Linked DNA regions of Arabidopsis thaliana. The protein of the gene in region 1 interacts with the protein of each later gene in a pairwise test. Each region holds a gene or a part of one and is shown in the gene's direction. Other genes may lie near its edges.

Region 1 (6,854 bases):
ATAAATTTTTCATTGTTATCACTTAAAAATTAAAATGGATAATATACAGGCAGTTGTATGATATCAAAAGTATATCGGAAGTCCTAGTCTTATGTGTTATTTTAGAAATTAGGAAACGAAAAAAAGTTATAAAACCTCGTTAAAACCCAACTCGTTTTTTCCTGCGCTCATTGTTCCTCTATCTCTCCAATTCCTCCGAAGCAAATCTTCTTAACTAAAACTTCCTCTCGCACGTGGTTTCGTTTTCATTCGTAAGTTTTCTTTTAGCGATTGTGCAATTTTCGAGACATTCAATCGTCGTTCTCGATCGTTCTAATTAGGGTTTCCGCGACTCTTTTTAGGCCGCTTAAACAATATTAAGGAGATTCCTTTTATTGACTAAAATTAAGAGTTAGATAACTGAATTTTGGTTTTGAAACCCTTCCCTGTTTTCATACGGTACCAGGTCAGGTTAAATTAAAGATTATGGGAGGCGTAGAAGGTAACCAGTGGTTTGATAAGTTTATGGACGAAGTCGGATTGGTATTTACCAAGGTTGACGAATCGATACAGAAGGTAAGTACTCTTGTTCTTCTGGTTTGATCTTTATTTGATGTTTATGCCCTAAAATTCAAGAGTTTATGGTTCTGTCTATGTTGTGTGGCTAAAAGACTAAACCTATGTTCTTTTATCATCATCATCATCATCATCATCAACGCAAAGTATATGCTACGAATTGATGTAGATAATGTATTTTAGTTATTAGTGTATTTAGTAGTTAAAACAGAATTAAGGTTTCCAAGGTTCTTTTAGATTTTTTTTTTTCTTAAACGATGAAGAGTATAAAAAAAAGTTTTGCATAAGATCTGAAAATAGAAAGACCAAGAGATCATAGAAAGACAGCTTCAGTTCCATCAGATATTTTATTAGATTTATGGAAACCTAATTGATCACGGTCTAATCCTTTTGAAAACCAGAACTATTCATGATAGTTAGATCTTTCCATAAAACAGGCTTCGATTGTCAAAACTTACCGTTTACATGACAACTTTTCTTTGATTTGGTTTTTCTTTTCTATATTTTCAGAGTATTGAACTCTGGACAGAGTTAACCAAAGACATATTTGACGACCAGCCTAACCAAGACTTGACCGGACAGCCAGATAATGGTGGATCTGGTGATGAACATTCCTCTCAATATCCTGTCTCTGAGGTCAAAGAAAGACCGATTCAACACTGGTATATGTGCCTTTCTGACGTAAAAGAAAAACCGCTTCAACACTGGTCTATGTGCATTGCTGAGGTCAAAGAAAAACCGAGCCAACACTGGGCTATGCGTGGTATGTGTTTTATATATAGTATATATTACATTATAGTTATTGTAAATACCATTAAATTAAAGTAGCTAGAACATCAGCACTTTTTTGGTTTCTTGACTGACAAGTATCATATTGATTTTCTTGGCAGCTTCAAAATTCCCAGAGAGTTTCACTCAAGCACAAGGTGGTGATGATTGTTATGAAAATTATGGTGATGGTGCTGATGGTATTGATGATGATGATTATGATGAAGAGAATAGTGTAAGTTTGAAGCACTTTTCCCATTTTCATATCAAAGCTCATTAACTAGAATAAGTAAATCACCATGGATTTTGTATAACGGAATTTTGGTAAATTTAATTAGTTGCTACTTTGTTTATTGTCTCTGACTGAATCTTTCTGATATAGGAATCGAGTTTGAAGTGGAACTGTGACTATCAGCTGTTAAAGAGTGGCTACTTGTCTTTCGATGAAGAAGAAGAAGAGGATAATGACGATGAAGAAGATGTTGACATTTTCTCCGAAGATAGTGATGATTCATGGAATGAGGATTTTGATGATGAAGATGAAGAAGCGGATACTACAGTTTTTAAATATTCCGAAAACATGTCGGAGCTTGATTTGGGATCAGCGACGAATTATACCCCTAGTTCCTACGATCATCGTAATGAAAAAGATAGTGTAAGTTTTTGTGTAGCAGTTTTTTTCACATTTTTATACCTATGCTCATACAAAAACTAGGAAAATGATCATCTATGAAATGTTGTTATTTTAATCAGTTGCTGATTTGGTTATTGTATTTGTGATTAGGGTTCAAGTTTGACGTGGAAAGGTGGTTATCAGCAGTTATATAATGTTGACACGTCTTCCGACGAAGAAGATGAAGAATCATGCGATGAGGAGGATGATGAAGCTGGGGAATATCACTCTGAAGAAGCGATGGAGATGTCGCGCGAGCAGAGAATGAGCGAGCTAAGGAAAGTGCTTCATGACGATGAAGATGACGTATCACAAGGATTTGTGAATGTGAGGCGAGAGACAATTGCGAAGAATACGGAATTTGGTGAGGTCGAGACCCTTTTACCAGATGGTGATTGGGTTTATGTGAAGAGTGCTTAGGGCTCTGATCTTTTGGCAAAAAATGTGTGTGATTTGATCGAGTTTATACTTTACATCGGCTTTAATGATATTTATTTGTGTAGTTTTTTGAGTGTTTCATTCGTTTTTCACAAGGCTTATGTCACTCTATTAACTTGGGGTTTAATACCAAATAGTGTACTTTTTCTTATCATTATTGTTTGTCTTCTTTGCCATTCGATCATGTGATCTTTTAGATTATCTTAAGGTACCTTTCCAGTGGAATCATCGACATTTGGTCTATACATGTATTTTGAGCTCAAACACTAATGCAAAACCACAATCCCACCAAAATCGATTTAACACTAGTTTTGGTTTATTGGACCAAACCAAGTAGAAAACCAACAAAACCACCAGTACCGTGATTATTTTCTTTTCTAACGCGTAATAAATATCTTTTATGGCTTTATTATGCACTCTCATTGCGAAAAAAGAAAAATCCAAAGGCTTGGAAAATCGACAAAAACGAAAAGGGTAGTGGTGAGATGTTTCATCATTCTCTGTTTCAGTTCGGTAATGGCGGAGATTTGCTATTTTGGGGGTCTAGTCCATTATAAATCACCATCTCTTCCTTTGTCTCTTCATTCTCTCTTCCGCAGCAAGAAGCCACATTACTACAATTCCACTTCTCTCATGGCTGAATGTCTCTCCTCCTCCACCGTGGAGCCTCCTTCTCTCCTCGTCTTCTCAGGTTCCACTTTCTTCCTCTTCCTTGTTTCGTGGGTCTCCCTAAAGTTACGATTTTTATGTCGATAAGATCGTCTATTTGTGTTAGATCTTGACCAATTACTTAGAATTTGACATTTGTTAATTCTGTTTGTTGCAAAGTGCAAAGCTTTATCATTGTCTTACATTGGTTTAGGTAGTTTTCTTTTGCTCTGAATTTTGGAAAACGTTATATTTGTTGCTATGAAGGTGGTACTGGATTTAATGGTGTGGTTGAAGAGTTGAAGAAGTTAACAACACGAGTCGCTCATGTTCTTCCTGTCTCTGATGATGGTGGAAGTACTGCTGAGATTGTTCGTGTTCTCGGTAAGTTTTAGAACTCACTAACATTGCTACAAGACCCAGATTATATATGTTTTAGCTTCTTTAAGTTTTTACCAGAAGTAATCTAAGCTCAATATCTCCGTTGCTATAGGAGGGCCAGCGGTTGGTGATATACGTTCGAGGTGTTTAAGGCTGTCTGATGAGAGTACTTCAGAGGCACTTGCTGTTAGGCGGTTGCTTGGCCATCGCTTACCTATTGATGCACATCAGGCCAAGAAAGATTGGTAATTTATCCAATGACTATGTTTTCTTTATGCACATAGTGTGGTCTACTCTATAAGCTACACATTTAAGGTTCTGTGGTGGACAATATTGTGTAATATACCATTGGCTGAGTTGGAACTTTGACAGGTACGATATTGTAGAAGGTAATCATTCTCTGTGGGATGGTGTATCAAGACCCTACAGTGAAACAATTCGCGCTTTCTTGATATACTTTCAGAATGAGGTAATGTTAACTGATACAGAGAAACATGTTTTTATTGGTTTCATATTTGATCAGTTCCAAGTTCCAACTTCTTGATTGTTTAAATTTTTCTTTACCTTAATATTCTGTCATTTCTTACTTGACATGTTTCTTATGATACAGATTCATAGGCGACCTAATGAGAGATTTTGCTTCAGTAATGGAAGGTATTGAAGATCTTTTTCTCGGCTTCAACTGTGTATTATTTTGTTCGCCTGTTTAGTAACTCACTTATGATTGTTTCCTTCTTGTAGCATTGGGAACTTCTTCTTTGCAGGAGCAAGGATATTTTTCCAGTCTTTAGATGCTGCAATTTTTCTGTTTTCACGTGTTTCAGAGATTCCTTGTGACAGTTTGGTCCTCCCAGTGATATCAACCAATGATAGGCTAACACTAGGATGTGAATTACAGGTATGAAGCTTGATCTCTATTTGAATTCCCGCAGCTAGCTTATGGAATCCCATTCTTGTCCACAAATATCGCAGCTAAAGCATCATTATTTGCGGGAAGAAGTATCGCTTTCTATACATAAATCTTGGCTGTCGCTTCACTGGCCATCTTCTTGGTTTAAACAATTAATGGCAAGATTGAGGTGGCAAATTTGTTCGCAAACTAACAAGTTATGACTTTAATTTGTAGGATGGGACTATAATACGCGGACAGAACGAAATTTCTCACCCGACCACTGGGACTACGCAGACAGTTGACAAGGTGTTCTATTTGAATATCTTACATTGGTGTTTTTTGATGATCACGAGAACTAAGTTTACTATATACTTGTATCAATTAAAAATGTCAATTTTGCCATATGTAGAATTTATTTTCTTACATTGTCTTTCTATGTTTCTAGTAGAGACATTGTTCTACTTCCGCTCTCCCATCGAAGATAAAGAGAGTGTTTTACATGTCAAGTGAAGGCAATAATCTGCTTCATGAGGTTAACTACTCTGCTTTTATATATACAGAATGTCCTAGATATCTTCAATGTTATCTCTAATGATTCTGATTCCCTTTAAGAAACTCTATCGTTTTAGTTCTCTACTTCATTTCTTTGTTTTGCACGGTGTATTTGACATTGCAAATGTTTGGTGTTATGTCCATTAAACAGGTCTTCCCACCAGTTAACCCAACTGTCCTAGAGCAGTTGAGAAGCGTGGACTGTATCGTTTACGCAATGGGATCCCTGTTCACTTCCATTTGCCCATCACTGGTTAGCACCCGCAATAAATATGTTGTGCAAAAATGGTGGATTACTAAATTTGTGATAACTGTTATAGACAAGTCTTTCTGTTCATCAGGTTTTGCTTGGTGTTGGGGAGATTATCTCTTCCAGGTCATGTCGTAAGGTATGCTGAAGCTTGTCAAAAATACTAATGATGGTAAAAATCAATCTGATTTCTTCTCTCTGTCACAGGTACTTCTTTTGAACGGTAGCCAAGACCGAGAAACAAGCAGGTTCACCGCTTCCTGCTTTGTGACTGCTATCGCTGACGCTCTCAACAGAACTCATGGAGATACTAATATTCGGCTCAAGAATCCCGTGAGTGGTTCTTCACAATCCACACTCTTTCGATGTCTTCTTTATCAGACATATATCGATATCCAAGAACATCATTTTTGTGTGCAGCCTGGATATTACATCAACACTCTCTTGGTCCCGAAAGATGGAGAAATAGCAGTAGATCTCAAACAATTGTCTGAACAAGGGATATATGATGTTGTCAGTATCTCTTTCCTTCACTTGTTTCCAAGTTTATGTGCACAACAAACACTCACTGTTACCTCCACTCTATTGCAGAGAGTCGTGGAGAGTGTTGGTGACCCGAAGCACGGTATCTTGTTCAACCCGAGCTCACTGATAAACACACTGGCCGGTTTGGTGGAGTAAATAGTGATTCTTTAGGCCAGAGCTAGTTTCTTCTTCTACGCAATTGGGACCATGATTTTTTTGTTACTGTTTAGTTTGATCCTTTAGTGAATTGATATGAAAGGTTATGAATGGTCAATGATCATATTCTTAGCTAAGGAAAGACAAACGCCTCTCTTTCTCTCGGAGTTGTATCATATGTTTTTTCTTACACGTTTTACATATAACTACTGTACAGATGAATACAGTTCACTTTCCAATGAAACCAAATGATGACATTTCTACATAACTATGTGTGCTTTTCATTCCCAAACAAGCAAAGGCATCTTTGTTTCTCACTGTGTATTAACATGTGTGCTTTTACTAAAAAGATGTATTAAAGCAAAGCAAATGATGCCAGCAACAAACAGAGCGTGCCCTGAGATTGGTAGGGCCCTAAGCCCATACAACTTTGTTGGCCCTTTCAGTTAAGTTTAGAAAAGAATCACTTGTTCAATAACCAATGTTAATTGTTGAAAGATGAATTTAACCGAAGATTTCTTTACAAGTTTTTGACACAGTGATCATAATTTTATAATGCTCACAAGTAGCAGTACGTGACTCTTGTAAGTCAAGTAGAGAGACATAAATATACCAAAATATTAAACTTGTATGATGACAATGACGCATCCATTTGAGCCCATGCTTCATTGCTCCTCCATTCAGTGATTGGGCAGACATATAATATGTATTGTTTTAGACACTTTGTTTCTAGTCATTCGTTGCGGAAATGACAAACAAATCAACTTTTTAACAGAATTTATTACAAAAATATGTAAAGTACACGCCAAAAGAAAAAAGTGTACTACTTTCATAATTTAACATAAACTATGCTATTTTTGACTAAACCTTAAGTGTTTACATACTACGAGGATCCTAACCAAAAAGGAATTCATAAAGTGTGATCTCTGAATAATAAAAAGAAAACTATAAATATATGGGGTAAATAGCTTACTTGGTGAGATTTCTTGAAATAAAATTGGACCAAGATCATGAAT
Region 2 (8,076 bases), on another chromosome or scaffold:
TGAGAACTTCAATAATATGGGGAACCAAAGCTATACACTTGGTGTCAACGAGTTCACGGATTGGAAAACAGAAGAGTTCCTTGCGACCCACACCGGCCTCCGCGTTAACGTAACTTCACTATCCGAACTATTTAATAAAACGAAGCCATCAAGGAATTGGAACATGAGTGATATCGACATGGAAGACGAAAGCAAAGACTGGAGAGACGAAGGAGCTGTAACACCTGTTAAATATCAAGGAGCATGTCGTAAGAATACTGTGATCATTTATTATAAACACTTTACACTATAATTGGAAACAGCGTTACAAGAAAGGATAGCATATTCCGACCAAAGAATTTGTCGGAACATCTTGTTTCAGCCGAATTTCCAACGAAACAGATTCGTCGCAATTCTTTGGTCGGAAAACAATATACGTACGATATAGTAAACGGCTGGATTGGTCATTTAATTAATGTCAAAATTACATTCCACATACAAAAAAATACATTTCGCTAAACTTAATCCCCAAGATAGGGTTATTTTAGGTTTAGGGCTAACAGATGATTTGTTTACTAACAAAATGAAGTAACCAATATATATATACATGGGCAGGAAGTTGTTGGGCGTTCTCAGCGATTGGGGCGATGAAGGTTTGACAAAGATATCTGGCAAAAATCTATTAACACTGTCCGAACAACAGCTAATAGATTGCGACATAGAGAAAAACGGTGGTTGCAATGGCGGAGAATTTGAAGAAGCTTTCAAGTACATAATAAAAAACGGAGGCGTTTCTTTAGAAACGGAATACCCTTACCAAGTGAAAAAGGAGAGTTGTCGTGCCAACGCCAGACGCGCCCCACATACACAGATTAGAGGGTTTCAAATGGTTCCAAGCCACAACGAGCGTGCGTTGCTCGAGGCCGTAAGAAGACAGCCCGTCTCGGTGTTGATTGACGCAAGAGCGGACAGTTTCGGTCATTACAAAGGGGGAGTGTACGCTGGGCTGGACTGTGGGACAGACGTGAATCATGCAGTGACGATCGTTGGGTACGGAACGATGAGTGGGCTCAACTACTGGGTTCTTAAGAACTCTTGGGGTGAGAGTTGGGGAGAAAATGGTTACATGAGGATCCGTAGAGATGTGGAGTGGCCTCAAGGAATGTGTGGTATAGCTCAGGTTGCTGCTTATCCGGTTTTTTAACTAATTTACTTAGGTGGTTTTTTATATTGAAGTGATCATACATTTTGTAGCCTGGTTTATGATTGTTTACATGTGGTAAAATTGCAACTTAAACTTGACCTTAAAAACTGTAATATGTTCATTTTATTACTCCATATAAACGTATTTCCCTCACTTTCATAATAAATAAAGGGATGTGTTTTTCACTTAAATCGTGTTCCATAAGAAACATTGTTTGAATTTTCAATGCAAATTTTAAAACCAAATTTAAAATTATCGCTAATAAAACTAAAATTATAGTGTAAGACGTGTTAATTACAAGTAGATTTTGATTTTATTTTTCATCGAAAATGAACCTTTATTAACTTTAATCGAATATCAAACTAGTACAAATGATGGCAAATCCATGGGGCTGGATTAGAGACATCCAAATAGAAAGGTGAATCTACACATCCATATTAGCTAAATGGTAAGCGGCAACATTGTTGCAACGTTTTGTGAAAAGGAATTGGAACTCTTTAAATTTCTGCGACCAATAATGGATATCTTGACATGATATCCTTATGATTAAGATACCTTAGGCAGTATTATAAGTAGATTAGCAAAAAAACAAAAAAAAATTATATATGAATCCATCATTAAGCTTGATTTGTTTTTTTAACTTGTCCAAATAAAAGTTTAGTTTCAATATAACAACATCTACAACACCCGGTTACATATGATACCTCGAGGTCCACGACGACACACTAGTACACTACATATACATAACCAATTCGCACCATATGATATTTAGATACCCCTTTGACAATATCATGTAAGGGCTTTTTTGGAAAGCATCACTAACAAGTTAACAATTGGATTTTTACAAAAACCATAAAAATTTTACTCGGTTTAGTAGACAAATATATTTTGGTGTTATCTTACCATTTACACCAAAAAAAAGAAAAAAAAACTACTAGCAGTATTGATTAAAAATTTAAAACAGAAAATATATATATATATATATACCAAAAAATTGTAAATAGTATTCTTTTGACCTTTGTTTTGGAGTGAATTGGTTGATGAAGAAGAAGAAGAACCTGGTCCGATTCTAAACCTTTTTTTGAATATAAAACGGAATAAAAATATTCTGTGTTTGAGTCGCCTAACAACAACACGCACCACCCGAAATTATAAAGTAAAAGTAATAAAATCAAATTATATAAATTGGCAAAAGTCGAAGAAGATGATGATTGAATGTTTATTTGGCAGTGAATGGAAGAGATAGAGAGGAGCATGGGTCTCTGTGAAGAAGATAACGTAGAGAGAGTTATTATGTTTGATTCTGAAGCGTGACGTCACTCAGAAACCGTGAATCAAGGATCTTTCTTCCACTCCTTTCTCTGATTTTGACTTTCTCTCCTCTCTCTATATATAAGCTCAACATCAATATGTCTACGGCTTCTTCTTGGATTCAACAACCTCCTTTTAGATACTTACCGGATCGTGGCGGTTTCTCTAAGCCAAGCTCTCGCAGCGCGCGGCAGTTTTCCTCCGGCGTTGTTTCAGCTTCCGCTTCTTCTCCTTCGCCTTCATCCTCGTGCTCCTGTGGTTATTCGGAGATTTTGAATTTCGATTTCGGTAATAGGCTTTGATCTTCGAATGATGTTTGTCGTGTAGATTTAGGGATTGATTACTTTGTTCATGTTTATCGAATGATGCGTTGTTACATCTGGAAATGACCTGACATTGTACTGCAAAGTTTCATAGCTGAGGATTTCTCGATCAAAGACGTTGTTTAGGATGGTGAAGAATAGTATCGCCTAATTTAGATTGAGGAGGAGCTCAATTACAGTGTCTATATACACAGATTTGTCCCTGTTTCTGCAAGAGATAGAAGATTTTAAGATGTTAGATGATTGTGATATGCCAAGTAGAATTAGTGATAGTATGGTTTGTTTGGTCAAGAATCGGCTCTGTTTTTCTTTTGATTTAGAGCTCACAATTTCGGTGTCTATTTAAACAGATTTTTCCCTGTTTCTGCGATCGAAAATAAGCTTGAACATGTTAAATGATTGTGAGAAGCTAAGTAGAAATGGTGATAGTATGATTTGTTTGGTTAAGAATTGGCTCTGTTCTTTATAGCTTTTTCCGCGGGTTCATTTGTTTGATTTTTCTTTAAGAAGGGTCAAACAGAAGCTGGAACCAACAGGGACGCAGGGTTCAGGCAATGAGTTCCACAGCCCAACGGAAATTTTCGCTATCGAAAGGCGACTCCGATGACAAAAATGAACCTGATCATCTTCTTGTTCTTGTACATGGTATTTTGGCCAGGTATTATTTCTAAGTAGTTCATCAATTGAATGGTACTGGGTTTGCATCTTGGGAAACCCTCATGGTTTTGTTTTAGGTTGGATAGAAACTTGCAAGTATTTGAATTTGAAAGTTATGTCTATCATTGTCAAAAAAAAGAAAGAAAGTTATGTCTATCATTTCTGCTACTTTGTTTTCAGATTGAATAATTTATAGACTCCAAATTTACTAAGACACAATTACTTGCAGTCCCAGCGACTGGCTCTACGTAGAAGCTGAGCTGAAAAGACGCCTTGGAAGAAGATTCTTGATTTATGGTATGCTCATCTTGTTCTAAATTGTTATCATCTATTAGTTTAGTTGAGTAGTTGTTGGATTGTATGTATAATAGAAGAGAATTTTTGGGAATGAAATGGTAACGTAAGTTGAATGCATGTGCTGGGCACAAAATTGAAAACACTTCAAGGTCTTATATAATCTTTAGCGGCAAGAGGCGAAATATACATTTTCTTGAAAAATTTAAGATCTTTTCGTCTGGAACCACAACTCTTCTTTAGTTTTGTATTTTATTATAATACTCATGTGCTTTTATGCTATGCGTGGAATGGATCACACGTGATGTGTTTTAATTTACTCTGTTTCTCCTGAACATTCACAGCAAGTTCTTCCAATACCTTCACTAAAACATTTGGCGGGATCGATGGAGCTGGAAAACGACTAGCAGAAGAGGTGAGTTTTAATATCTTCATTTGCACCTCGTGTATAGGTAGGTCTTGGTTTTCTAGCCCTTAACTTCAGTACATGAGCTGATTTCTGTTCCCATTCTGGATGTGAGAGAGGAATAGGTTAGACAAGTTGTCCAAAAGAGCAAGAGCTTAAAGAAGATTTCGTTTTTAGCCCACTCCCTCGGTGGCTTATTTTCCAGACATGCTGTTGCTGTTCTTTACTCAGCAGCAATGGCACAAGTAAGTGATGTTGCTGTCTCTCAATCTGGCAATTCAAATCTTCTGCGAGGTAGGATTGCGGGGCTAGAACCGATTAATTTCATCACTTTGGCAACACCTCATCTAGGAGTGAGAGGCAGAAAGCAGGTTCTCTTCTTCTCTACTTATCATAATTGGAATTTTGGAATCAAAGAGTTTCATATATATCTCGCAGTACCTGTACGTAGATGTGGTGTATGCGTAATTAAGAAAGTAGTTAGTCGTTTTTCACATGTAAATTTCATCTACCTTCTCCTTGTGTTCAGACAGATATCATAAGTTTCATCAAAACTGTCTTGCGTTTTTTGCTATTTGGTCCCCTAAGTGTCTAGACTGATGAGTGATGAATATTAATTGATAATCCCTGTAAATTCTATCTCATTCTCTCCTCTTTTTCTGGAACCCCTTGTATCAGCTGCCTTTTCTGTTGGGAGTTCCTATTCTTGAGAAACTTGCTGCACCAATAGCTCCATTCTTTGTTGGTCGGACTGGTAGTCAGTTGTTCCTCACTGATGGTAAAGCTGATAAACCACCTCTTCTTTTGAGGATGGCATCTGATGGTGAAGATCTGAAATTCTTGTGAGTAATGCTCTTACCAATTTAAATCATTCGACCCCTTAATGACTTATCTGTAATCCTAATGCATTTCATTGTCTGGCAGATCGGCGCTGGGGGCATTTCGAAGTCGCATTATATATGCAAACGTATCTTATGACCGTATCCTGTGCATTTCTGTTGCTGTTTAACTAGTACAGATGTGCCTAGCTGTGTCTGCATTTGTTTTCTGAACTGTTTCCTTTGACATCAAGTAGACATGGTTGGTTGGCGTACATCTTCCATTAGGAGAGAAACTGAACTTATCAAGGTACGTTTCATGCTATATGAAGCAATGGAACCTTTCTATTTAATATTACCCCACTTGTTTTCATGTTCCTTCTATTATGTAAGTTGATTTCGACTCTGAAACGTGTAGCACACACTAGCTAGATGATGGGGTCATCGATATTGATAGTTAGCTTGCTGTGAAATGCTAACGGTAGCTAACTTATCCTGAATTTTGGAATTATGAGTAATCATAGAGGGAAAGTTTCATAGAGGTAAAGAGTCTAAGAAATGAAACAATTGTCTGTAGAGAATCACCAAAAATACTTTCGGCAATTCATTTATCTCAAGTAGCTTCGTGCAAGAAGCTCTCTGTGGCTTGTAACCAGTCAAATGAAACTTTGAAAATTATTTAGCTGTCACGAGTGAGATCTGATAGATATGTTTTTCCCCTGTTTTAATATAGCCTTCACGCCGGTCTCTGGATGGATACAAGCATGTTGTTGATGTTGAATACTGTCCACCTGTTTCATCAGATGGTGCCCATTTCCCTCCAGAAGCTGCTAAAGCCAAGGAGGCCGCACAAAGCTCTCCTAGCCCTCAGAACACACTTGAGTATCATGAAATTGTGGAAGGTGTAGAATTAGCCCAAACATTTGATTGATTCTTCTAAATCGGCATGAGATTTACAATTTATACAAATATTGGTGCAGAGGAAATGATCCGCGGTCTGCAGAGGTTGGGGTGGAAGAAAGTTGATGTCAGCTTCCACTCCACCTTCTGGCCTTACTTAGCTCATAACAACATTCACGTAAACTTCCAACATCTTCACTTTGGAGCTTTTTAATTCTTTGAAACATGGACTAACAGAGATTTTGAGTCTTGTTTCAGGTGAAAAGTGAAAGACTTTACAAAGCAGGAGCTGGAGTTATTGCACACGTTGCAGATAGTATAAAACAGCAAGAGTCTTCCACGTTTATTACCGCCAGCTTATAAATCGTGAGCATTTCGAGTGTTTGACCCGTTAATGCTGAGTGTGCTACGACATTTGAACCATTCCTGTGTTTTGCTTTTACCATACAGTTTGGGAGATCGGTGCAGATCAAGAATGTTCGCATCTTTGCTTCTTCTATTTTTTTTCTTGGCGAAATCAGAAGAAGTACAATCCAATTCATCTGTACATGATTTTCTTGTATTAGCTTGTTGATGATACAACACTTGAAAGATGTTATTATAGATTAAGGTTTCTTAAAGAGAAAAGTTATATATGTTCAACCTCTACTCTTCAAAATAACAGATTCAGCTGAAGACATTTGTTTCTAGTCAATTTGTTTTTGGAATTTTTCTTAATTCAAAGAAAATTGTGCAAAAGCTTTCATGTGCGGCTCAGATTAATTAGTCATTTACTACTAATAAAACTTTCACTTTGGGGTCTAGTAGATAATTCTCCACCCCCATTGAATCTTTTTAGTGGAGGTCTAAACATACATAAGATTCTATAGATTGACATTTGGGAAACCATCCTCATACAAAAAAGACCTAAACGGAATCTATGAAGAATTATTAACAGAAAAGAAAAACAGATGGCAATGAGAAAAGATCGGGTTCAAGGAAAACACAGCCGTACAAAACTCAAGAACAAAAACACCAAAAATAAACAAAAAAACTTCCAAAAATAGATATAGAATCACATGGTTTTGTTGTTTTGTCTATTTGTTCTCTATAAAAGGAGATATTTGGTTGGATCTATCATAGCGTCTCCTCTCAACCAAAGCTTACAATTTGTTCTCCCTTAAAAACTAAATTTTACAAATAAACTCTCAAATCCAAGAGAGGAGAAGACCGAAGTAAAAACACAAGAAAAAAAAGGATTAAGGCATAATGGCCAAATTCTTCATTGTCTTCCTTGCCTCTGCCCTATGTTTCACCACCCTCGTTCACTTCACCGCAGCTGATGCCGACGACTTTGACAAATTCCACATCAAGGGCTCCGTCTACTGCGACACATGCCGTGTCCAATTCATCACCCGTATCAGCAAATTTCTCGAGGGTAATTAACCACATTCTCTAATCAAATTCATTTGTTGAGCATACTGTCAATAGCAAAATATATTGGTTGATAAAAAATCGATCCCATTATGGTATATAGGTCAATGGTTAGAATTGTGTAGTAAAAATTCACAAAAATGATTACAAGCATATATAGACGTCTTTTTAACAATGTTAAAATTTTATAAAAATGTGGTTAGTCACATTTCTAAGAGTTAGTGTTGCAAGATTATAAGAAAAACTAATTACGTTATTGTGTGTATATCAGGGGCAAAGGTAAAGCTTGAGTGCAAGGGTCGTGAGAACCAGACAGTGACCCTAACCAAAGAAGCCGTGACCGACAACGCCGGTAACTACCAGATGGAAGTAATGGGTGACCACGAAGAGGAAGTGTGCGAGATCGTCCTCCTCCAATCACCTGACCCAGAGTGTGGAGACGTGAACAACCAAGAATTCCTAAGAAACGCAGCCAGAATCAGTCTCACGGCCAATGATGGCATTGTCTCCAACGAGACTCGAACCATTAACCCACTTGGGTTCATGAGGAAGACTCCTCTCGCTGAATGCCCTCAAGTTTTCAAGGAGCTTGGAATCGTCCCTGACGTCACCTTCTAAGCTTAATATACATATATACACACCCATATACATCGATCTCTCAAAGTCTCAACACTTTCAATTTTTTTGATGACTCTTTTTAATATATAAAACATTTATTTATGTTTTTTATGTGTCTGTCTGAGTTTACTAATTAACCATGTTTTTTTTTCG
Region 3 (9,055 bases), on another chromosome or scaffold:
GTTAAGGATTCAAGCAAAAGAGGGTAAGTATGGAGGAGGAGGAGGACAAAGTACTTCTTCTATGCAGAACAGAGAGGCAGCACTAATGAAAGTAGCAGGAACAACAATCCAATGGCATTCATCCCAGAGAATGATTGGGAGAGTTAGATGCCAAAAGACTAAAAACCTCGAGGTTAAGCGTGTGTAAGAGAGAGGAATCGGAATGCCCATGAGTTGTTCACAAACTCCAATTCCTTCATGTAAATGCAGCATCTTTGATTCCTGCAATGACGCAAAGAACATATATTGGTGTCAAGTGTTCATAGCAAAGAATTTTAATAGAGAGTTCAAGGATTCAAGAATGCTACCAACAAATCTCTCTTTGCATCGTCTAGTTTTAGCAACTGAATGCTCTGAGAAATGAACTCGATTACACAACGCGGACGATGCTTTGCTTGAAGAATCAGAGATAAGTCATCTGCTTCTATCAAGTTCCGGAGATCTCTTGCTATATCTGAACCATAAATCACATGACACTGCAAATGAAATTAAAGCATCAGAAACCAACAATAGAGTCAAGCAAGAGATGAATATTTTTTACCTTAAGAGCAACAGGGAAAGCTGCAATGTAACGAAGAAGCAAATCTTTGATGATCAATTCATCACCGGAGCTATCAACGGAACAAATAACTTGCCTAGCTAAATCATTAGTTCCAGCAATAATCCCAACCCAAGCTTTCCTTCCTTCTTCATACCTAGAATACGAAGCCTCCGTACGAAAGACCAGAAGAAGAGCCAAAGCCGGAGCTGTGAGCTGATACGGCAACGACGAGGATCGAAGAATTGGAAAAATACCAGGAAGCCAATCCAAAGCCACGGCGGAGTTGTAGCTAGCGATCACAACCGCGACGCTTGTGAAGAAGAAAACAGGTGGAATCAGGGAGAGTATAACTCGTGAAGAAAAGCTCGAGAGTAGATGACGCACATGGCGAAGAGAGCTTCTATGTTCAACCCATTTCTCGTGTGTGTAGAGAGAGCGTTTCTGCTGCATCCCACGCTCTTTAATCTCGTCTGCCCAATCTGGAACAGCTCTGAGGAGATGGATAAGCTTATCGGTTAAGGTTTCGTGACCTGAATCGTTGGATTCAGGACCAGATGAGACACGGGGAGGTTTGAGATTGACGGATTTGCGGAATCCGGTGGAGAATATAGGAAATCGTGATTCGAGGAGTGATCGGTGAGTGAAATTGGAAGAAACTGATAGATTCATGGATTGATACATTGGCGGGAAAATAAGGGGTTTTAGGTTTAGGGTTTGATAGAGACGAAGATGAAGAAGAGAAATGGTGGTTGACACATGAGGCTGCGTAAGGGTAGCAAATCGGAGGACTTCGAGAGGTGAAAAAACAAGTGATAGGAAAAAGGTAGTTGAAACGGTTGTTCCAGGATTGTTTACGTTCCACATTCAAACGTCGTCGTTTTAGGACAACATTGGGCTTTGATATGTTAAATACTGGGCTTAATTATTCTAAACGACGTTCGTTCCACGACAACATTGGACTTGGATCTGTTAAATGTTATTTTGTTTGAATATACTGGGCCTAATTATCCCACCGACGATTCGACTTCGATGTGTTTTTGTTTGATGTGTTAGATACTGGGCCTAATTATTCCTATCCGGCCCATAGAAGATTATAGCAAACAATTAATGTTCTTGTTGATCTTCTTCACTTCACTTCACATGACATGAGTACTAAACGTTCAGATTCTGTATTGTTGATAAACTCTTGGGTCCTAATGATTATTGTTTGTAGAGAAAAATGAAGATTTAAAGTGAACAGAACAGAGACAAGAACAATATTTACTCCACAAAATGGGAATTTATATTCATGTTATATGTCTCTTAATGCCAATATATAATCATTAGTCTCAAGTATTTATGGTAAAATAGAGTCTAAAGATAGATTGGGGGATTCATAAATTTTGAAAGCTTATGATGAAGTGGAAGCCAGTGAGGAACAAAGAAAGTCTTGACTAGATCACATCACTATTCTCTCACTCTCGACATCAGAAGCGTGAGATTCACTCTCTCATTCCCAATGCTTCGTTTGATACACGCACCTAATCTATAGCGTTGAGAATGAGCCACACAAAGATGATGATGATGATGGATGGATGGATCCCTCCTACAAATTGCTAGATGCTAGAAAGAAGTCTATTAGAGAGATAGAGAGAGAGCTTATATCACAGTCAAAAGTCAGAGACTTCAAATTTAATTTCGAATTTTGAAATCCTGCCTCATCATCCCATTGTATTGTAATCCACAGTAAATGCTTGGAGAAAGGATCTTTTTTTGTTTGTTTCTGTTTTCCCTCTGTCACCCAGTAAAAGAAAAAAAGCAACATCACATACACTCTGAAGAAAGAAAGAGAGAGAACCCTAGAAAACTTTTTTTTTTCTTCACCATTGTTGATTGATGGATGAGAAAGCTTATTCACACTTCATTTCTTTGCTTTTGGTGAGAGAATGAAACAGAGAAGAAGAGATGAAGAAAATTAAAGTTCTTTCCTTTTCTCTTTTGGATCTAATTTCATCTTGAGATTTTCTCATAGCTTGATACTAAAGCTACATAAAAAACAATTAGGTGAAATGAAAGTTTGTGTGTTTTGATAAGTTTTCAGAGATTTTCGGTTGCATGTTGTTATCTTGCTCTTGAAGTCTATCGAACCCTTTTAGATTCTGATTTTGTTCTCTTCTTATCCCTCCTCCTATAAGTTAGCCATTTAGGGTCCCCATCGAATTTTACTAAGTTAAAGTCAGAGTCTTTTTGGTTAAGCTATGGATCGAAGAGACGCAATGGCGTTATCCGGGTCGGGTTCTTACTATATCCAAAGAGGAATCCCCGGTTCTGGTCCTCCTCCTCCTCAAACTCAACCAACGTTTCACGGATCACAAGGATTTCATCATTTCACCAATTCCATCTCTCCTTTTGGGTCAAACCCAAACCCAAATCCAAACCCTGGAGGTGTCTCTACTGGATTCGTGTCTCCTCCTTTACCCGTTGACTCTTCTCCGGCTGATTCGTCAGCGGCGGCGGCGGGAGCTTTGGTTGCTCCTCCTTCAGGTGACACGTCTGTGAAGCGGAAGAGAGGACGGCCTAGAAAATATGGACAAGATGGTGGTTCTGTTTCGTTGGCATTGTCTCCTTCTATCTCCAACGTTTCCCCGAACTCTAACAAACGTGGCCGTGGAAGACCTCCTGGCTCCGGCAAGAAGCAACGGCTATCTTCCATTGGTAATATCCCTAATCTCTAACTTATGAGTTTTATTTTCCGACAAGGACATTGGCTCTGAATATGGTGGGAAGTTTTGAGCTTAATTGATGATATAGTTTTTCAAATGAGGACATTGGTGGGAAGTTTATTATAAGCTAATTCGAACTGTTAAGGATTAATTAAAGCTGTGGAATTTTATAATGTCAAATTGTTGAATTCAATATTTATTCTTTTATTATTCCTTGGCCTTTCTCTTAAACTTTGTTATTGCTCTGTTTCTCCCTGATTACAATTAGCTGTGATTTTTCTGAAGACATTTGATTCTTTTTTGTAAGGTGAAATGATGCCTTCATCAACTGGGATGAGCTTCACACCGCATGTAATCGTAGTTTCCATTGGTGAAGTATGTTTCTTCTGTCTCCTCTTGAATAAATCTGTTCTTTTTTTTCTTTGTAATCTTGCCTCTAGTTCTTGAGATAACCATACTCTCGGTGTTGCTTTCAGGACATTGCTTCAAAGGTTATATCGTTCTCGCATCAAGGTCCACGAGCGATATGTGTCTTATCCGCAAGTGGTGCTGTCTCTACTGCAACTCTTCTTCAGCCAGCACCTTCTCATGGAACTATTATATACGAGGTTTTATTGAATCATCACTCACATTTTATTATCTTTTAGAAGACAAAAACATTACTTATTTTGGTGTATACTTTGAAACTTATAGGGTCTATTCGAGCTCATATCTCTCTCAACTTCTTATCTGAACACAACTGACAATGACTACCCAAACCGCACTGGAAGTCTAGCGGTCTCACTTGCTAGCCCCGATGGTCGTGTCATTGGTGGTGGAATTGGAGGTCCTCTAATAGCAGCAAGCCAAGTCCAGGTGAGCTTACGCTTGTTATCAAATTCCTTAGATGAATTTAGATTTCTTATGCTTAACTATGTGTGTTTGCCTCCTTAAAAGGTCATTGTTGGCAGCTTCATTTGGGCAATTCCGAAAGGGAAGATTAAAAAACGTGAAGAAACTTCTGAAGATGTCCAAGATACTGATGCTTTGGAAAACAACAACGATAACACAGCAGCAACGTCACCTCCTGTTCCTCAGCAAAGTCAGAACATTGTTCAGACTCCTGTAGGCATTTGGTCAACTGGTTCAAGGTCAATGGATATGCATCACCCCCATATGGACATTGATCTAATGCGTGGATGATTCATGTATATATAAGCATTGAATCTAGGAGAAGAAGAAGAAACTTGAGCTAACCTCCCTGAAACAAAGTAGTCTATTGGTATTGTTTAGGAAAGAAAAAGACAATTAGTAAGTTTAGGAATTTCTGCGTGTTTTCGAGCTTTCAGTTAGTTGATTTGGTCTCTTGACTTGTTATGAATGGGAAAAAAAATTGCTTGTTTCTTATACGTTTTAGCATTCTACAGCATACAATCTGTTTTAGCAGGAAGTCGTCGGAAGAAATTAATAGGTCCAGGAGGTGTCTTACCCCTGAATCTTGGAGGTCTCATGATGTATAGTCCGGCGAGAAGAACAAAAACCTTAAACGGCACAACATACAAAACGACAGTAGAAACCAAACAAAGCACCATGAAGATCGAAGTTGCTCTTGGATCTCTCCAGCTTAACAGAGCCTGAACTCGTTCTCCTTGACCTGCTATATCTCCCACAACCGTTTGAGCTCTACTAGCGATACTCCTTAACCGCTCGTACCGCATTTTTACAATCCCCGGGTCTTGAGACGAAAAAGGGAAGGTATCGAACTCTTCGTTAAGCTCTTCCGGGTGGATATTGTCTGCAAATGATAGTCTTGTGTCCATGTGTGGAGGTTGTCTTGGACGGAGCCTGTAGTTCCATACCCCAAGCATGAACAAGCAAAGAGACATCACTGGAAGAATCATCTCCGGCGAACACACTAACACCAAGAAGATTATATGAATAGCTGTAGTTTCTACCGGTTTCTTCCACCTGCAGATATCTTGAAACCATTCTCCGGTTCCTAGTAAACCAGAGAAAACAGAACTCAATCTGAAGAGATTTGCACGGCTCTTCCTCATGCTCCATAAATGCGAATTTGAATCCGAAATGTATTCAACTACTTCTTTTCTAAGTGGCGGCTCGGCTCTACTTAACCGAGCTGCCACTAAGTTAACCGCATGCTGCCTAAGAATCTCCTGCTGCACTACTTTCAACGGTCTTGCGTAATGCATCTTGGGAAGAAGCGGTTTCCAGTACTGCATTAGCATCTGAAACATCGATGAGCAGGAAAACCTAATCGCTAAATGCAACTCCCCCATTTTCTTTAAACCTGAAGGTCGAAGAACAAGAAGCGGATACGAGTGACTGTAGATCCTTCCGGCTTCGAGAGTCGAGATTCTAACTCTGATTTTCCCAATTTTCCCATCTCCTTTGTTACCATTACCACTATTGATCTGATTGTTATCGAAAACACCGATTGTTATTACAGTTGCTGGCTCATAAACCTCCCATGTGTACTGCTCATTGAACCGCGGGTTTAAACAGTTCGTAACGGTTCGAGTCCTGACCCATTTGGTTCCATACTTAGCTACACAATAAGCATCCACCGTCTCCTTCTTCCCTTCTTGGCTCAAATTCAAACCTTCAATTCTCAAGATTCCTAATTCAAGAACACCAAAAGACGGTTGTTTATGACTCAACAACTCTTTCATCGACGGTCTGAAATCGCTGCTGTAGTAAGTAGATTCATCAAGAACGTGGTAGCCTCCTTCTAGACAAACGTTTAGATGAAGTCTCGTCGTCGCGAATCTGACTCTTCTCTGGTTCTCAGTTTTAAGACTAAACCAACGGTTAGGCACTGTCCGGTTATCGTCAATCCGTTTATCAATTGTACCAATCGGTATATGTACCTCTCCCAGCGTTTCCTCTCGGTTAGGTGCGACTCGGTCTTCAATCGAGATGATCAGATCTTCAAACGGTTCAGCCGCGACGAGAGTGAACTCTTCGTTCCATCTTGGATTCAGCGAGTGACTCGGTTTGGTTCGAACCACTTGGTTATTCAACCGGATTTTTACATATGGATTTGGCAATCGAGTCCGGTCTGGTACAATAACTAAGTCTTGTGCCTCGATGACATTAACCCGGAGGTACCAAAGCCTTGGAGAATGATAGACTTTAGAACGCAAACTCGATTTGTTAACAGCGTTTAAAGCGTCTGAGTATGTCGCGTCTGAGAACGCTTCGTCGGCTTGAGTACCGAACCAAACAGCCAACATAATCTCGCCTCCTTTCTCGTTGTTGACTCTGTACCATTCTGGAGCTAAAGGACTGTCTGGTGCGACACGTGTCGGAATCTGATTGAGATCGAACCGGATTAAACCGACGAAATCGTCTTTGACCATGTCTTTGTCCATGACGATGACTTCAAGAACGTTTGATTGTTGATTGGATTTGGAGAAAGCGAAGACTTCGTTCCAAACCGGGTTTTGATTCTTCTCAAAATGTTTGGTTTTGCCGGTATAGTTTCCGAGTTTGACTTCGATGTATGGATCTAGACTTCCGGTTAAGTCCATGGATGGAAGATTTCTAGCTTTCACGATTTTGATGAAGAGAAACTCCATTGGCTCGACGAGATCATGATCACTTGATCTTGCTCGTTTGCCTCCTCCGAGAATCGGTTTCGTCTCTTTGATAGAATAATCCGGTGGATTCGGATTAAACCCCATAGTTGTAGGTATCGGAGTACCAAACCTCGGTGCTTGATAGAGAGAAGACTCCATCATCGGTGGCGGTAGAGCCGTTTGCGATTGAGGCGGAGGCGGTTGCGGTTGAAACGATTGCTGATTCCCTCGTGGGCTATGGTTACTCTCATTTGTGGGGATGTTGTGAAATTTGTGCCTTGATTTAGAAGGAATCTTCTTTGTAGAGATTAGATTCGGTACCTTGGGAGAGGGGTTATCAGTGAGGAAAACTTTGAGAGCGAGCTCACCTCCATTGGCGGCAGCGGAAGAGAACATGCTCCATTTCTCTTTCTCTAGAGGATAAGGCAATCCAACAGCTTCTGAGTACGGGAGAAACGCAGTTCCCAATATTCGAATCTTACCTAGACAAGATTTTGTTATGCTGCTGGTTTTATTGTAAACGTAAGCGTCAAGAAATTGATTTGATAAATCCTCTGTATCAGAGATGTTGAAGAAGAACTTCTCGTTCCACACCGGACTAGAGTCATCGATCTTAGTCATAGTTATGACTTTCTGATCGTCAAATCGTAGCTCGACGTAAGCGTTAACACCGCCATAGTCCTCTCTAGGTTTGAGCCTTGCGCTTATGACTTCAACGCCAAGTTTCAGATTACTCATCATTTTTACTTAAAAAATTTCTGAAGAAAACAGAGCAGAGGTTTTTGAAAGTTTCTTCTACACTTATGAGATCGTGGAGACTTGTCTTACAAGACAACTAGGCAAATGTTTTTTTGGGGGAATTTTGTAATGTAATTAAACGTTGACCGTATTTAATTAGGGTCACGCAACGCGCTTATCTGTTATTAATCGTGACGCCAATCATCAGAATTCTTTTGATTATGAATTTATATGATATTAAATAAAAACATTATTTGTCAACAAGTAAGATTGGGGATAATGCAAGGGCTTATTAGGTACATTGTCGTATTTAAATCCAAAATTAGTAAAATTGCGTGGTAGGGTTTTCAGAAAATGTCATGTATGTTATCAGAAAAAAAAAAAGACATGAAATTTGTTAAAACCTCAAGCAAAAAAAATCTATCTATCGAATTCGCTTGGTAGGTTTTTTCTCACAACTATCTATCGAAAATTATTTTGCAGATAAATAAATTGAATACCTTCCACAAATTGGCTATTTACTGTAAATATATATATATATATATATATATATATATTTTGGGCAAATGCCTAATTTTACAATGTAAACTCGTAATTTTTGGGGTCAATTATGCAATGCTTCTTTAACTTGTAACTAATTTATTTCATTTACATTAGCACCAACGAACCAAGGTTCCAATTATTTTCCCTGCATTGTTTAAATGATAAATTGATAATATTTATGTGAAAATCGGACGTCTAACCAATAATGATAGTTAACAGAAAAGAATTAATGATATCATATTCATTTGTTAAAAAAACAAACAAAGTTGGTGCTTATATGACGACTGACATAAAGTTTTAAACATTTAATATTGTTATACCACTTGCATTACTCCCGGGTGAATTGTACTTACTTTCTTTGTTGAAATGTCTTGTTTTGGGCCTCCCAATACTCATTGGTCCACTTCTCAACCTTTCTCTCCGCACTTTCTTGTTTCTCAAGAAACCTCTTCAGCTCATCATCTCTATAAGGCCGCGGCAAATCACAAGCCGATTTAACGCTTGGAGACATAACCAATGAGTCGTCCATGCACTGCCTGATCAGGCCACCGTCAGTGATCGGACAAGCCATCGTCTCCGAACACACTTCGGTTGCATTTTCAGGCACAGTCACATCCAACTTCATTAGTTTCCCGTACCCTTGCAACACATACAACATGTAATCATACACATACTTCATCTCTAGGTTCTTCATAATGTAATCACTTCCCTGTCTCCCTATAACTTGCGCCTATATATATAGATTTCAAACGATTATCGATGATTGAAATAGATATAAGATCTTGGATACTATATATATAATTATATAGATGTTGCTTACCTTCTTAGTGTTGTTGTTACCCCATTCCACGGCGAACTTGAGATCACCACATTTCTCGTGAGATTTAATGGGCCAGTAATGTTCTAACGGAACC

The links. The genes of interacting proteins can lie anywhere in the genome.
Region 2: the proteins of MEE18 (region 1) and AT1G29120 interact in a two-hybrid assay, tested with the Arabidopsis thaliana proteins (one large-scale study listed by BioGRID).
Region 3: the proteins of MEE18 (region 1) and AT3G61310 interact in a two-hybrid assay, tested with the Arabidopsis thaliana proteins (one large-scale study listed by BioGRID).

The regions. Positions count from the first base shown.
Region 1 is NC_003071.7:14,395,267-14,402,120, reverse strand, and holds MEE18 (maternal effect embryo arrest 18), read left to right. Parts: upstream 1-2,845; coding exon 2,846-3,125; intron 3,126-3,349; coding exon 3,350-3,466; intron 3,467-3,575; coding exon 3,576-3,708; intron 3,709-3,820; coding exon of another isoform or gene 3,821-3,835; coding exon 3,836-3,932; intron 3,933-4,073; coding exon 4,074-4,117; intron 4,118-4,204; coding exon 4,205-4,361; intron 4,362-4,589; coding exon 4,590-4,661; intron 4,662-4,803; coding exon 4,804-4,887; intron 4,888-5,058; coding exon 5,059-5,160; intron 5,161-5,248; coding exon 5,249-5,296; intron 5,297-5,364; coding exon 5,365-5,490; coding exon of another isoform or gene 5,491-5,577; coding exon 5,578-5,838; downstream 5,839-6,854. Other genes in the region: AT2G34100 (nonsense-mediated mRNA decay-like protein), read left to right, coding at 466-555, 1,066-1,318, 1,446-1,558, 1,706-1,978, 2,108-2,416.
Region 2 is NC_003070.9:10,171,889-10,179,964, forward strand, and holds AT1G29120 (Hydrolase-like protein family), read left to right. Parts: upstream 1-2,298; 5' UTR 2,299-2,592; coding exon 2,593-2,782; intron 2,783-3,324; coding exon of another isoform or gene 3,325-3,327; coding exon 3,328-3,475; intron 3,476-3,703; coding exon 3,704-3,771; intron 3,772-4,112; coding exon 4,113-4,183; intron 4,184-4,299; coding exon 4,300-4,545; intron 4,546-4,852; coding exon 4,853-5,016; intron 5,017-5,098; coding exon 5,099-5,154; coding exon of another isoform or gene 5,155-5,183; exon of another isoform or gene 5,184-5,246; coding exon 5,247-5,302; intron 5,303-5,725; coding exon 5,726-5,894; coding exon of another isoform or gene 5,895-5,923; exon of another isoform or gene 5,924-5,972; coding exon 5,973-6,070; coding exon of another isoform or gene 6,071-6,106; exon of another isoform or gene 6,107-6,150; coding exon 6,151-6,255; 3' UTR 6,256-6,258; exon of another isoform or gene 6,259-6,342; 3' UTR 6,343-6,633; downstream 6,634-8,076. Other genes in the region: AT1G29110 (Cysteine proteinases superfamily protein), read left to right, coding at 1-248, 633-1,183; AT1G29140 (Pollen Ole e 1 allergen and extensin family protein), read left to right, coding at 7,141-7,309, 7,577-7,923.
Region 3 is NC_003074.8:22,686,208-22,695,262, reverse strand, and holds AT3G61310 (AT hook motif DNA-binding family protein), read left to right. Parts: upstream 1-2,112; 5' UTR 2,113-2,817; coding exon 2,818-3,274; intron 3,275-3,589; coding exon 3,590-3,657; intron 3,658-3,758; coding exon 3,759-3,890; intron 3,891-3,975; coding exon 3,976-4,137; intron 4,138-4,218; coding exon 4,219-4,464; 3' UTR 4,465-4,682; coding exon of another isoform or gene 4,683-7,601; 3' UTR 7,602-7,653; downstream 7,654-9,055. Other genes in the region: AT3G61320 (Bestrophin-like protein), read right to left, coding at 55-261, 348-515, 581-1,444; AT3G61300 (C2 calcium/lipid-binding plant phosphoribosyltransferase family protein), read right to left, coding at 4,683-7,601; AT3G61290 (O-glucosyltransferase rumi-like protein (DUF821)), read right to left, coding at 8,491-8,871, 8,962-9,055. UniProt on the Arabidopsis thaliana protein: Transcription factor that specifically binds AT-rich DNA sequences related to the nuclear matrix attachment regions (MARs).